Linked DNA regions of Drosophila melanogaster. The protein of the gene in region 1 interacts with the protein of each later gene in a pairwise test. Each region holds a gene or a part of one and is shown on either strand. Other genes may lie near its edges.

What was found.
Region 2: the proteins of Taf12L (region 1) and CG2209 interact in a two-hybrid assay, tested with the Drosophila melanogaster proteins (one large-scale study listed by BioGRID).

Annotation. Positions count from the first base shown.
Region 1 is NT_033779.5:4,698,038-4,705,197, forward strand, and holds Taf12L (TBP-associated factor 30kD subunit alpha-2), read right to left. Parts: upstream 3,449-7,160; 5' UTR 3,432-3,448; coding exon 3,240-3,431; intron 3,180-3,239; coding exon 2,955-3,179; 3' UTR 2,798-2,954; downstream 1-2,797.
Region 2 is NC_004354.4:13,017,726-13,024,861, forward strand, and holds CG2209 (uncharacterized protein), read left to right. Parts: upstream 1-4,472; 5' UTR 4,473-4,532; coding exon 4,533-4,994; 3' UTR 4,995-5,224; downstream 5,225-7,136.

The DNA.
Region 1 (7,160 bases):
GATCTCGCTTAAAGCTTTGGATTGCAATCCAGCTAACCCATTGACCTTGGCCGGAAACCAGAGAGGATTATTTTTTTTTTTTCGGTCTGGCCCGGCGTCAACTCTTTGGTAACATATCACTCAACTCAAGTTTTTGCCCTGGCCCCAAAGTTGCCATGAATAACTTGCGAATTTCTTTGAAAATGACTCGCTCAAAGGCGGAAGTTTCCGCTCTCCTCGCGTTTGACATGCAGGGGCGGTCGTCACTTGAATTTAATTAAAAAAGAATTTGTGTTCTAAACTTTTGAGCTGCAAAGGCTGTTTGCTGCATTTACTTACCCATTAAGAGGGCTCAATCCAGTCGGGCGACAGTCAGGCGACCCGAGCTTAATCATAATGTGCTTACAAATACCCAAATACCGCCTTTGATTTATGCTGATAACTCAATTTGGATGGCGTCTATTTTATTCTGACGCCTGGCTACATTTTCGTTAATCTATTACGGCCAGCGGCGACCGATATCACTTTAATTCAATTTATATCTACCAACAACATCATCCGCAACACCATCGAGAATTCGTATTTATTTCATGCGCACGATTTCGAAAAACCAAAAACGAATCCGAAACCAAACCGTCAACAGCCCATGGGCCATGGGATGTCGGGACAAAGTCACTTAGCTGCTTATCTCCACGGAACTAAGCCAGATCGCCCTCAAATGGAGTGGGCGTGGTACATTGTGTCTGCTTTTACTCATTTTATCCGTACGCGAGCGTCACGGATTGGGGAATACTCGTATGTACGAATAATATGCACGACAAATTCATTATAATATCGCCCAAACGAATTCGTCGACGGCTTGAATTTTCCTGCGTGCGTGCCAAGACATACGGCAAACGAATTTCGCCCAGAAGTGCGTTGGTATTGCTGGCCCACACACAGATTCTCACACACACACACAAACACTCGCTGAACCAATATCAAATCAGTTTAAATGCGCCCCAATGTGTCGTTCTTGGATTATGATTGCGAACGTTTGCGGCTGCCCCGAGGGCGGTTACAAATGTAATGAAAAGTAATTTCTATTTCTGGCCACAACCAAATGGGATTTTTACAAAAGCGGTGGTACTGCGGTCCTTAATTTACCATAAATAGATATATATATAAATTTTTATAAACTCTTCACTTAGCATTAAAATGATTTTAACCATAAATTATTTCAATTTTCGAATCACATTAGTTAAATATTGAAATATTGATAGCGGATTGATCATTTGTTTTAGGTCAGCTGTACTCAATTATATATTTAATCTTCATCCAATCCATTTGCAGCTGGTAATGATTTATTTAAGTTAATTTAAACAAACTGCATAAATTGCTCGTCCAGCAATGGGAAAAATAAAATAAAAACGCAACTGATTAAAGAGTTTTGGTGTTTTTTGGTCTTAAACAAATCAGATATTGATTAAATATTGGGAAACGCTACAATCTCTATTAAATTAGTGTAAAAAAAATATTACATCTCAGAATTCGCTTAAAAACAACGAAATGCAGCTACTGCAAATGCAAAACATTCAGCGACATAGAATGAAATCCTTTGGGTTTTCTTTAAATAAGTACAGATCATCTTCTGAATACAAAACCACAAGTTTGCTTAAGAGTCAGAGAGAGAAGCTCCAGAATTATGCCATTTTCCGCTATACCCATGGCCCGCGAAGAAGTATTCTTTATTCTTGAGGCAGCACCAAATAAAAAAAAAATATGAGAAAAAATCGCTCTGAAATTTCCGCCTCGGTCTTATCCTTTATTTTGAGCAAAGGACCTGAAAAGGAACCCAGTGCCCGTTCATGTGTGTAAATGGGAGCATGTGAGTGTTTTTCAGCCACTGTGTGAGTGTGTGGCATTATGCGCCCTGGCATTTTTATGGCACTTTAACTTTATGTTGAGTAATTCCCGGCTGAAGGGCGAGAGTCAAGTCCTCGGGAAAGTGTGGCCGAGACCATGATGACCGCTTTGCAGGGGCTATTGAATGTGAGTCCGGCTCTTGACAGCGGCCATTGAATTTATTAATTGCTTAATCATGATGATCCGGTTTGCAATTTATCACCAGGCGTGCACCTTTTCTCATTGATACCTCAATGGGTATTCACAATTATGTTCAATAAAATTCTTTCGTCAGCTAACAAATTTGTATTAAACACGAGTTTTGTGTATTCTTTAAATTCACGATGAAACCATATTTTGGCAAAACACGTTTTTCAGTCTAAAAGGAGGCCTTTTTTTTATCATAAAACTTAAAATAATTGTCCAAATATGGAATGCCATACCTCGTTGAGCTTGTATTTTATCCCCAAATCGATTGGCATTCAAACTTGGCAATTTTAATTTTTTGCCAATTTTTGCAAAATTTGATGATGGTATAAAAAATGCAAAAACTGACCCAAAAATAAAATTTTTTTTATTGACCAAAAAGTAATAGCAATTGTTGCTATTGGTAATTAGGTGCAGAAAACAGTTATTCCTGTACTTATCTGACTATTTTTAGGCGAGTTGTGAAGAAAATACCACTCTTAAATATTGCGTTTTTGCCAAAAGAGACCTTTTTGATTTTTCGCCCAAATATATTCAGTTTTTTCATCATAAATCTTAAAACAATTGTCCAAATATGGAATGCCATACCTCGTTTAGCTTGTATTTTATCCCCAAATCAATTGGCATTCCAATTTGGAAATTTTAATTTTTTGCCAATTTTTGCAAATTTTGATGATGGTACCCCTTATAAAAAATGCAAAACTGACCCAAAAATAAAATTTTTTTTATTGACCAAAAAGTAATTGCACTGGTTAACATTGGTAATTAGGTGCAGAAAACAATTATTCTTGTTGCCTTTCTGACAGTTTTAAACCAAGTTATTCATACATTTTATTCATTCCACAATTTTCAAATTCTACATTATTTTTCCCTTTATTGGACATTTATTCAATTGGGAACTCCATGTTGAACTCCCGCTTGAGGATGAACTTCAGGTCCAGCACGCTAACGTCGCTCTTTCGATACTTGGCCAACTTAACTATGCGCATGGATATGTCGTTAACAAAGGCATCGGCTATTCTGGCCATCATATCGCAACCTTGATCGTCCAGCGATGAATTTGCATCGATTTTCTGCACAAATTGCAGCATGTTGGTCTTGGAGATAATCTGATAGGGGGAAAAGTACGGATCGATTAATGCGTCCTAATTGGGGAAGTCGTTACGTACATCGTAGCTTCCGCCAGGGACAGACTGGCTCTCAATTACGCTAGCTGGCTCCTTCTCCACGGAGCTGGTGTCTATGCTGGTGTCACTGGAGCGGCTCGAGGATCTGGTCGAAGAGTGGCTCTCGTTATCCGACGATTTATCGCTGTCATCGAAATTGAGGGCAAAGGACCAAGGTTCCATGTTACTATCCATGATTCAATTAATTTAATGTCCTTTCCCGTTAATGCCACATGCACTAGGTAAGAAAGTGGCTTGAACTGGTTGGAAATTATAGGAACATAAGGTGTGAGCTAATGCATACTTTTCGGGTCCTGTGTCTTTCTTCAAAAAGCAAAAAGTTTTTTCTTGGTGTCGTGGGACATTACACTTTCTCTCAATTTTTTACCCGGCAATAGTTTGGATCGGGAAAACCCAGCTGGGCTTTGCAGCCTCAACTCTTCGCCCTTGGCCTGCCATAAATAACCAGTTTAAGTCGCAAGCTCTGCAGCTGAAAACGATTTCCATTGTTGCCGCAGCGTTTACCCTTTCCGCTGCGGCTTTTCCTTCACGGTTTTTCCGCCGTCTTCTGCTTTTGATTTATGTTCCGACTGGGCTGTGCGCTTTTCACTTCTCATGCGCCAGCGCCGTCTAAATAAATATCAAAAAGCAACAAATTGTGGCCGTGCCGTAAACGACCTTTGCCCCGGAATAAGAAGCCAGGCCAGGCGACAAGCGCGTCGTCATGGCTTAATTTTATGCCAGGTGAGTACTGGCAAGGCCAGTCAAAACAACAGCACACACGTGCCCAGGTGTCCTGCCAGCCTATTATGCCGTTTGTTCTTTTTGCAAACCCTTAATGCACAGTGGGAATTTCGCTTCAGCGAAGCACCGCGCAAATTTAAGGCCACCTTGGGAGCTTCGGGTTTCAGAATTCAGGCTGCAACTTAAGCCAACTCGGAAAACTGATTTAAACGTGCGGCTATAATTTATATGCCTAGTGAGGGGCTTAAACGTAAATAATCTTAATTTAAACACCATTGAAAAAGGAAGCTCTTCTTAATATTCACATCTACTTCTAATGGAAAAAACATGATCTTGTATATTGTAATTAATAATAACTAATATTCAAATTTAAGATGCTTAAACCGGTGCCACAGTGCCCGTTTTTGTCATTCTAAAATGGTGTGCCATGTGCCTTTGCTGCGCTCCTGCCACTTTGGAGGTGCTCCTCAGTGTCCTCGGCTTAATAAAGTCGCCTACTTAAAGCGAGCGACAATGACATTGTGCGTATGTTGCCAGTCGTCGTCGGTGGAAAGGGATTGGTATGATGGGGTGGCCAGGTCGCCCCTTCGGCCATGTGTCACACATCCGCATCCGGTGTTTGGCATTGGCATTAGGCTTCCTCTTTCTACCTCCCACCGCCGACTGTCGTTTGTCGTTTCCGGCATGCGACTCTTTTATATTGCCGCTTCTATTTGCTGTGTGCACTTTTCTGCCCCTGTCCGCTCATTTCTGCCTTCTCTGGCTGATTTCTGTTTCATATTTTGCTCGCTGGCCTTATGCATAGTGTAAGGCAGCAAAAAACGGCCGACGTTTAGCTTTAAGTGTGCTGAGTGCCATAAATTTCACTTTGTCAGGGTCTTTAATCGCCCAAGCCCCAATCAGGCAGTCATTGTGGGGACTTGAAGAGGACTTGGCTGGTTCGGAAAGGTTAATTGTCATCTAAGTCTTATGGCGAATATATATATTTTACACATTTTCTTTATTCTAAATTTAATCAACATGCTTGTTCCCTTCCTTTAATAAAACCACGACTCAAAAAGAAGTTGTTTCAGCCTTCATGTTGCGTTCTAATGGCACATATCATATCCGTAACGAGAATGCCAGTCAGTGCCTGTATATGAAGTGCTAATTTGCTGTCGTGCTCACATAAAAAATGACAGCCTTAGTTGCCAAAATGTTTGAATTAATCACACATTTGTCAAAATTATTCAAATGTCTTTGCGGCGCGAGAGAAAGTGAATGAGTGTGTGTGTGGGCATGAATAGTTAATACGCATGTGGGGGCTACGCCCGGTTCCGCCCCCTCAGTTTTAGCCGCAGAATGGTGTCTGTGTAATAAGGCTAATGAGTTTCTGCCATGTCTGGCAGAGTGTCGAGACTGAGGGGCTAATTCTCAGCCAGTCAGCATGTTCTATGCACTCGCAGTTACTGGCTGGCTGCCATTTGGAATGGTTTTATTTCACATGATTATGACATTCTGTTGTTCAGGATTTCCCACACACAAATGAAACAGCCACGCATTCTTAGGCCCCGTTTTATTAACGGAGGATGTACTTTTTCGCCTCCGCAGTGGCTGTGCCAGATATTGCGTATACGCCACAGTGGCAGATGCGAAATTAATTTAAATCGGGCCCTCAGCGCACAGACTATTAAACAGAACTCGATCTGCAACAGATTTGCGTTAATGTTTCATAAATGCAAAAAGCAACACATTTAAATTCCTTCTCCATTTAAGTTTTTAATTACACTTAGCCGGCGAAGCGCACGGCAGCAACAGGAATGAAAATGGAAATGAAAACGAAAATGGGCAACAGACGACGGGACGACGGTGTTGACGGGCATGAGATGAAATCCTTTAATAGGCGTCGCGCCATTTTGTCGCCGGCATCGCTGCTTAATCCTTTCGCGGCATATTTTCCAGCGCGCCGTGACTTAATGAGGCGCTTTTCCATGCCGAGCACGCGGCTCATCCTTCCCCCTCCACGCCCGATGCCAAACAATGCGGATCCTTCCGGGAGAAGTGCGATTCTAAGCCAACCAACATACACCTCTTATCAGTTGCATTTACGGTGGAGCAGGCGTTAATGTGGCATCGCATTTAGTTGGTCACGCCGGATGCCTAAGCCACGCTTGTGTGCCTAAAAATTGTGTGCGAATTTCATTTTCCAACAGGAAATTAATTTCGCTTCCTCTCCGAAATTATCCTGGCAGACCAAGTTAAAATGATCAAAAATTATTTCGTAAATGAGACTGACATCTTTGCATTAGCTGATTGCCTCACAAATATAGATACCCCCGGGGACATCGTTCTTATTTATCATATTACTTCATTCGAGTTAGGGAATATTAACCTACCCATGACATTTATTTACACATTTCAAGCTTTTTCCATTGATATTCTGCGAAATTTATTCAGATTCCTAGCTCAAGGCGCATTCATAACTGTTTGTGTTGGTAAATCGAGCGACTCGACTGGCACAAATCAAACACGAAGTGCAGGCAGATATCTTCGCTTCATCTCATACTGCCATTGCAGCGCATCGCCATTGCAAACAATTTACCTCGGGTCTTAGCCGACATCATTTGTTTGCCTTGCTTTCCTGCGCTGGCTTTCAGACTTTTCAGCTGATGCAGCTGCAGCTTAGTAATTCTCAGTTGTTTTCCTTTTAATGTAATTTCATCGTTTTATGGAGAAGATGTGCTGGCAAAGGTCAGTCGCGGTGTGGAAGGTCGCTTGAGAACTATTTAATTAATTAACAAGTTTTCTAGAAAAGTTTAACGTATATGTGCCAAAGCAAATAATATTTCATAAGTATAACCTGGATTGATACTGTCTTTTTGATAGTTAAAGGATCCCGTACTTTTTAGTCAACCCACTTTGTTGATCTACCGTCTGTTGTCTTGCACATTGCCGCAGCGCCAAGAGTTGAATTTAATTTAATTTCCCTACTCAAGCTCGACCTTTTGTTGCCTGCTTGTTTATTTGAGCGAGTCGAAGGGTGCGGAGGTCAGAGGCCAAGTGGATGCAAGCTTGTGGCCACGTAGTAGCCAATTCAGCCACTGAAAGCCAAATGATGTGTTAACGCCGAAAGTGCCAGGAGCAGTTGGTTGCCAACTGTCGCATCCGGTGCGTTTGTTGTTTTTGCTGCGAGCAAAAATG
Region 2 (7,136 bases), on another chromosome or scaffold:
TTTCAAAATAGATAAAAAACAATAGTTATCTTTGCCCTTTTGGATACACTTAGGTTAAATATACACCCAGCTCTCCGGCGAAAATATGCTAAATGGAGTTTCAGACAAAATGCAAATAAAACAAAGCATAAAGAAAACAAAAACTACAGCGGAGAGGAGAATAAAATAAATAAAATAAGGGCAGCAGCGAAAACAGCTTGAACATAACGCCGTAACTGGCAATTGACTGCTAACAGTTCTGCATATAAATTGAGCAGATTGAGATGCAAGGATACAGCAACAGATACAGCAACAGCTACAGATACAGATACACCGAATCATACGCAGCTACAAATGGGGAATGGGGGTTTGGGGCAAAAGTGACAGCCCCGAAAACGAGATCAAGATTTGTTTCGTTTCCATTTCCGTGACCATTTGCAACCATTCTCCCCGGTGTGTTTATCCACCTGCCACTTTCCCCGCTTTTCATTCGCCGCCCATTTTTGCTTTCACCGATTACCCCGCATTTCCCCCAATTTTCCTTCCGTTTCTGTGCGTGCTTATTTGCCTGTGCATTATTTGTACACACGATTGCCTTTCGCATATTAAAGACGAATTCATAATAAATACAAAGGCATATCCCTCACAATAATCGAAGTGCCTGTTGAGACTTCCTTCTCATAGATACGAAATTCGCTTTGTTAACCAAAAAAAAAAAAAAAGAACTCTTCTTGCAGTAAATCTTTATCTTATCTGTATTTTTGGCAACACCGAATGTAGCTTATCAATTTTTTAAGTGCTTGTACGGTTAAATTTTGTATTGTTAAAAACTTGGTCTATTGAAAAAATCCAATCTTCTCAACTTACTGGTGCTGCCTTAAATGTCAATCAAAAATGATTAATGATGCGAACATTTTCAATCAAGAGTAAAATTAGAAAGTAATTATATATTTTTATTAATTATATAACCAATCTAATTAGGTATGTTCTTATTTCATTCAAAATCTCTTTTCTTTTCGGCTAAGTTAAGTTTTTCTAGACACAATTGTAACACATCGGGGAATATATATAAATCTTAAAGGTCGATTCTCGGCGGACTTGTTGCCAGCTAATTTCGAGACGCCCATCCGTTCAATTACGAAAGTTTTGCCAGTCAAGTTAATAACATTTATCGCCTTCTATAAAACATATCGTGTTCGTTGGGTGTGTGTAAGGATTTCGGATCCGAAGCTGTGGAAAAGTTGCCGCAACAAGTTTAACCTTTTTTTCCGGTTCGACAAGGTTACTTCCTTGGCCTTGCTTGTCGCTTCCGGTTTCCCAACCTGACACCACCGTTGAAAATCATAAAAATAGAATTGGGGATAGTTGGCTATGTTAATTAGCAGTACAGAACAATCTTTATTTTAGCTGTGCCACCTTTTTTTGGCGAAGTTATGGGTAAAACTCTTTTGAAAATATCATTTTTTTGGCAATATTTTGATTTTTGATTTTTTTTTTGGAAAAAATAATCCGTTTTTTCGCAATAGCTAAAAAAATAATTGTCCAAACGTAGAATGTCATACCTCGTTGAATTCGTATTAAAATTTCCTTTCAACGTGTGTTCAAGCCTAAAAATTTTAGGAAATTTGAATTTTTCGCAAATTTTGATGGGGGTACCCCTTATCGAAAATGCGAAAATTTGTTAAAAATTATTTTTCGAAAAGCATATAAATAGTGATACGGATAGTTAGGTATGTTTATTGGCAGTACAAAACAGTCTTTATTTTACCTGTGCCACCTTTTTTGGCCAAGTTATGGCGAAAATCCCTTTTGAAAATATCAGATTTTTGGAAACATTTTTTATTTTGATTTTTTTGTTGAAAAAATAATTCGTTTTTTCGCAATAGCTAAAAAAATAATTGTCCAAACGTGGAATATCATACCTCGTTGAATTCGTAAGAAAATTTCCTTTCAACGTGTGTTCAAGCCTAAAAATTTTAGGAAATTGGAATTTTTCGCAAATTTTGATGGGGGTACCCCTTATCGAAAATGCGAAAATTTGTTAAAAAATTATTTTTTGAAAAGCATATAAATAGTGATAGGAATAGTTAGGTATGTTTATTAGCAACACGAAACAGTCTTTATTTTAGCTGTGACACCTTTTTTGGCCAAGTTATGGAGAAAATCCCTTTTGAAAATATCAGATTTTTGGCAACATTTTGATTTTTGATTTTTTTTGAAAAAATAATCCGTTTTTTCGCAATAGCTAAAAAAATAATTGTCCAAACGTGGAATGTCATACCTCGTTGAATTCGTAAGAAAATTTCCTTTCAACGTGTGTTCAAGCCTAAAAATTTTAGGAAATTGGAATTTTTCGCAAATTTTGATGGGGGTACCCCTTATCGAAAATGCGAAAATTTGTTAAAAAATTATTTTTTGAAAAGCATATAAATAGTGATAGGAATAGTTAGGTATGTTTATTAGCAACACGAAACAGTCTTTATTTTAGCTGTGACACCTTTTTTGGCCAAGTTATGGAGAAAATCCCTTTTGAAAATATCAGATTTTTGCCAACATTTATTTCTTGTTCCTTTCTTGTAAAACAAAAAAAAAACGAGTTACTACGAGTAACGAGTACTTTCTCTAATAGTTCACCTATTCTTTTAAGTACTCTGGACACTGAGCACTTGAGTGAATCAGAGAGGGGGCCAGGTGTCAGGACCTTTGCAGGAGCTGTAGACACAGTCGTCCTGGGACCAAATTCCTGGAATCCTGCTATCCCCGATAACCGCGGCAATTTCTCGCAACGCATTGCTCAAATTGCATTACATTTTAAGAATGGCTTTTACCTGATTTCCTTTACCCGCCTTGCCCACTTGACATTTGATAATTCATAAATGGCATTAGTTTAATTTCCCAACAAATTTCCGCTTCGAATTTCCACAAGCGGTTTAATTTGTGGCGATTGGATTGCATAAGATGTAAGCAATAAAGATTTCGTTTGAACAAATGCATGATTTTCGATAAGAAGGCTAGTTATTCGTTTAAAGGGGTTTCCTCTAAAAATGTTTAATTTATGAGTTCTGCGGGCTATAACCTTAATCAATGTGGCACCAAAGCATCCAATTACAGGCCATAAATTTTACAAGACATTCGCTAGTCAGTCCTTAAAGAGCCACGGCCCATAAATAAGGAGCACAATCCGCGCCCATCGCTGAAATTTATTTCCCATTTGGAAAACCTTTGGCCCACCGTTGAGTTAACAACTCAACTTGAGTTGAAAAATGTTTGAAATATTTCGGCATCTAACGGCGTTTTAAAGAGCCCAAACGAATATGCAAATGGTTGTGAGTGTGGGTGGGTGGGTGGAAAAAGAGCACCTCAAGCAGGTGAAAGAAAGTAAAAAAAAAAAGATGGAAACAGAGGGAAAAAAATCGCATGCCTATGCATCGTTCCATTCTGTTTTATGGTTCATAAACTTTCGCTCTTCGGTGAGTGCTTTTTGCCCTTTTTTTTTATGGGGGCACATTGAATAAAAAACTGATTTGTTTTGCCGCCCCTACTTCAACGTTTGATGTTGCCGGCTGTTTTGGTTGATTTCAGCCATTTGTTGCCACCAAAATGTGGCTCAGTTTTTCGGGGGCTAACATATGGCACTCACTTCGGCATAATCAACATCATCATCATCATCATTCTGCTGACGAGTTGTTAATGATGAACATATTGACGACACGGAGCGCTTTGGGCCAACAAAGTTGTTAACATAAAATGGCTCGCTGCACACATGTACACCCACAATTTGCACAGATTTCCCCAGTACTTACAGTCCTCTCTGTGTGTGTATGTGTGCTCAACAACTTTCACTTTTATAGTCCTCATATGTCATTGCAGTCGTTTTTTACCTGCGAATATTTGAAGGTCAGAAAAATAGGAACAAATCCGAGCAGAAGCATGTTTTAATCTAGGCTTAATTATATGTACAATTTTGGTATTTAGTCTTTTTGTGTAATATTTTTTCTGAATTTTATACATTTTATCCGAATTATATGGCAATTTCTTTCCATGCACCAATTTACCGCCGAAAACTTGCAGTCAAAAACAGCAAAATAAAATGTGAAAATTTTATTAGATTTTGCATTTGAAGAAGGTAAACGGAGGAAAAAAAAAAACAAACACCGACAGATTGAGGGGTTGTTTTTGCTAGGGGTGTGAGACTCAGTCCCAAAAAAACTTTGCACTGGGGCTGAGTAAAGTTTTCATGTTTTTCCCTGGGTTTCTACAGTTTTCAAGACCTTGATGCCCGCTGCGGGCGATGGATGATTCTGATTTTGATTTAGCCCCATGTTGCTGTGGGTTACTTTTTGGCATACGCCAACCGGTCGTATGGGCAATGTAAACAACAGTTTCTACCGCCACTCAACCGTATTCCGGATTTCCTACGATGAAAAGCAAGCTTTGCCCCAGCCGTTTTCCTTCGACTGTCGGCCCAACTCTGGATATCTATAGATATATTCATCATCTATATACCCAGCATTCAAATCAGACATTGTATTTCGATTAAAAAAACAAAAAAAATGCCAGTTTTGAAACTTAATGCTTATTTCACCAAATTCTTCCCATCCTCGATGGTGCGTTCCAAGGAGTTGGTGCGAAGAAGGTATTCGATGAAGGTCGCGCAGGTGCGAAGATCTTACAACATAAAGTTCAATGAAGATCCAGAATTCGAATGCGATGCCACAGTCACGAATATGCCCCAATCCTTGAAGACTATGATTAAGAGGAAACTGCTCTCAAAGCGTGTGATCGGTAGCTTTCGACTAAGATTCCATAGCAATTCGTTTAAGAAAAGGCTCGAGATCACAGCCACAATAACCAACCCAACAGTTCCGTCGGACACAGATCTCGCTCCGGAGGATGAGCAGCTGTACGAGCTGTACATATGCAGTAGCCAGGGTCAATTGCTGGGCAAGATTCCCTTCCTGGAGAGCGACTACCGGCGTGCAGCTCGCGAGGCCATCGATTTCCTGGCCTTCTAGGCATTATCAAATTTTCAATTTTCGACATGCAGAGGAGGAATATATTTTATTCTGGCAACGACGACATGACAGCCCTTATTTGCGATAGGCCACTATGCTGAACGGACTTTGATTATCGATTACCTGTTACGACTCCATTTTCATATCTGCATATCCGCTTTGTGGGGAATGGCCTGTAAAAAGCTGTAAAATTATATTTGGACCTCAATAAATTTACAGTTAACTTACTGAAAAATATGAAGTCCTACAATGTAATCATATTTATAAATATCTTAAGTATTCATCAAGAGAATGAATTACTTTCATTGCCTTTCGTTGTTTGGCCAATTTATTGATTGAATCCTTCTCAGATATATTTTCAACATAAATGAGCTAAGCTCTTCAGTAAAATAAGAAAAGAAAATACAAAATCAAGTTTATTGACAATAAATTAGCAATCAGGGCAATTCAAACTTTCCCTTCTTCAATCAATGTTGTTTTAACAGTTGCTTGATTGGAAGTTTTTTAATTTAATTAAGATATATATTTTAAATTGGTACTTATATCGTACTCATAACATAAAAGCATTGAAGACTTAGTTTAAAGATGGAGCTTTAAACTGAATACCAAAGCACGCTGCATTGTTGAAATATTTAAATATGACCATCATTCTTTAAGAATATTAATGGCGCATTTTTTTTCGCTTACCCCCCACCGAATAAAACAAGAAGCTGTTGAAAATCAACAAATTCAAAATGTAAAGTCATAAGATGAACCACTTTAACAATCCCTCGTAAGCGATAATTGCAATTGGACGGGATCAGCGGTTGCTGGGCTGGGTATAAAAAAGGTACACCGTAGGATGCCAATAATTCCGACCATATATCCACTTACCACGCACAGCCACACGCAGACACACCCACACACACGCACAATCAAACACAAACACATATGCAAATGTGCGTGTACCCTAACATACATGTATAAGACGACAAGACCCCAAAGAACATGCTATCAATTTTATTTTTATTTATTTTACCGCCCTCCAAAGCGCCCATTTTCCCTCGCATTTGTTTGCTCTTGGCTCAGGCTGAGCATATTTTGTAGCTCGTAAAAGTTTTTGATATAAAATGTAAACAAAAGCGAAATGGGACACGGAAAACACACAGCCTCCAAACACTGGGGCAAAAATGTAGTATATATTCGGAGATAGCTAATTATGAAAATAATTATTGCTAAATTGCATTGCTAAATTCTAATTGAATATAATTAGCTATACCAACATGAATATCAACGTTTAATTCGGTTTTAAATTTAATTTGGCCCGTTTCGCTCAGTGTGTGCAACTCAAAATTATGGCGCGTTTTGTAACCAGAAAAAGGCCAAAACGAGTTTCATCTTTCGCCTGCTTGTTTTTGTTGCGGCTTTTGCTTTTTCGCCGCCCCCTTTTCCGTTCCCCTTTTTCGCCATTTTGAACGGCCCTTGTGGATGGGTATCTGAGTGTGCGAGTGTGAGTGTGAACTGTGTATGTGTGTGTATGTGAGAGAGTGTGCCCAACGAGCCCTTTCAATGCTCGATGCTCACGCACTTGCACATATTAATTAAAAAGTTCAGGGTCAGGCCAAGAGACAGACATCAGCTGGCCGAACAAGGGCTAAAAAGCAACAAGAAAGAAGAAAAGAGCTGGTCAAAAGGGGAGTGAAGGCTTGGGTCAAAATGGCAGGGGCACAAGAGGGGGGCGTAACCCCTGACTTGGTTATTTTTAGTCAGTCCCGGCAATGTTGGTCGAAAATTTCTGTGTTGCTTCAGCATAATTTGTTTACACTGCTGTTTTGGTTCTTGGCCACCACATTTTGATACCCTGTAATTTTCAGCCGCAATGAGTTGATCTTGTTGCTATATTTTGAAGGGTATGAATGTCGCTTTTCATCTCATGAAAAACTTTATCCACTAACTTTTTAAGATATCTTAATAAATAGTTACCTTTTGTGCATAGAAGTTGACATAAAATTGTTCATAATAATTCCTGTTTAAAAGGCAACATAACTGTCGCAACAAGCAAGTAACTTTCAAAATGGCCTAGTTGCACTAGTTGACTTGCCATTTTTCAGGAACATGCCCCTGCAGGACTTTCCCCAAAACGTACCAAACAACCAACGAAAG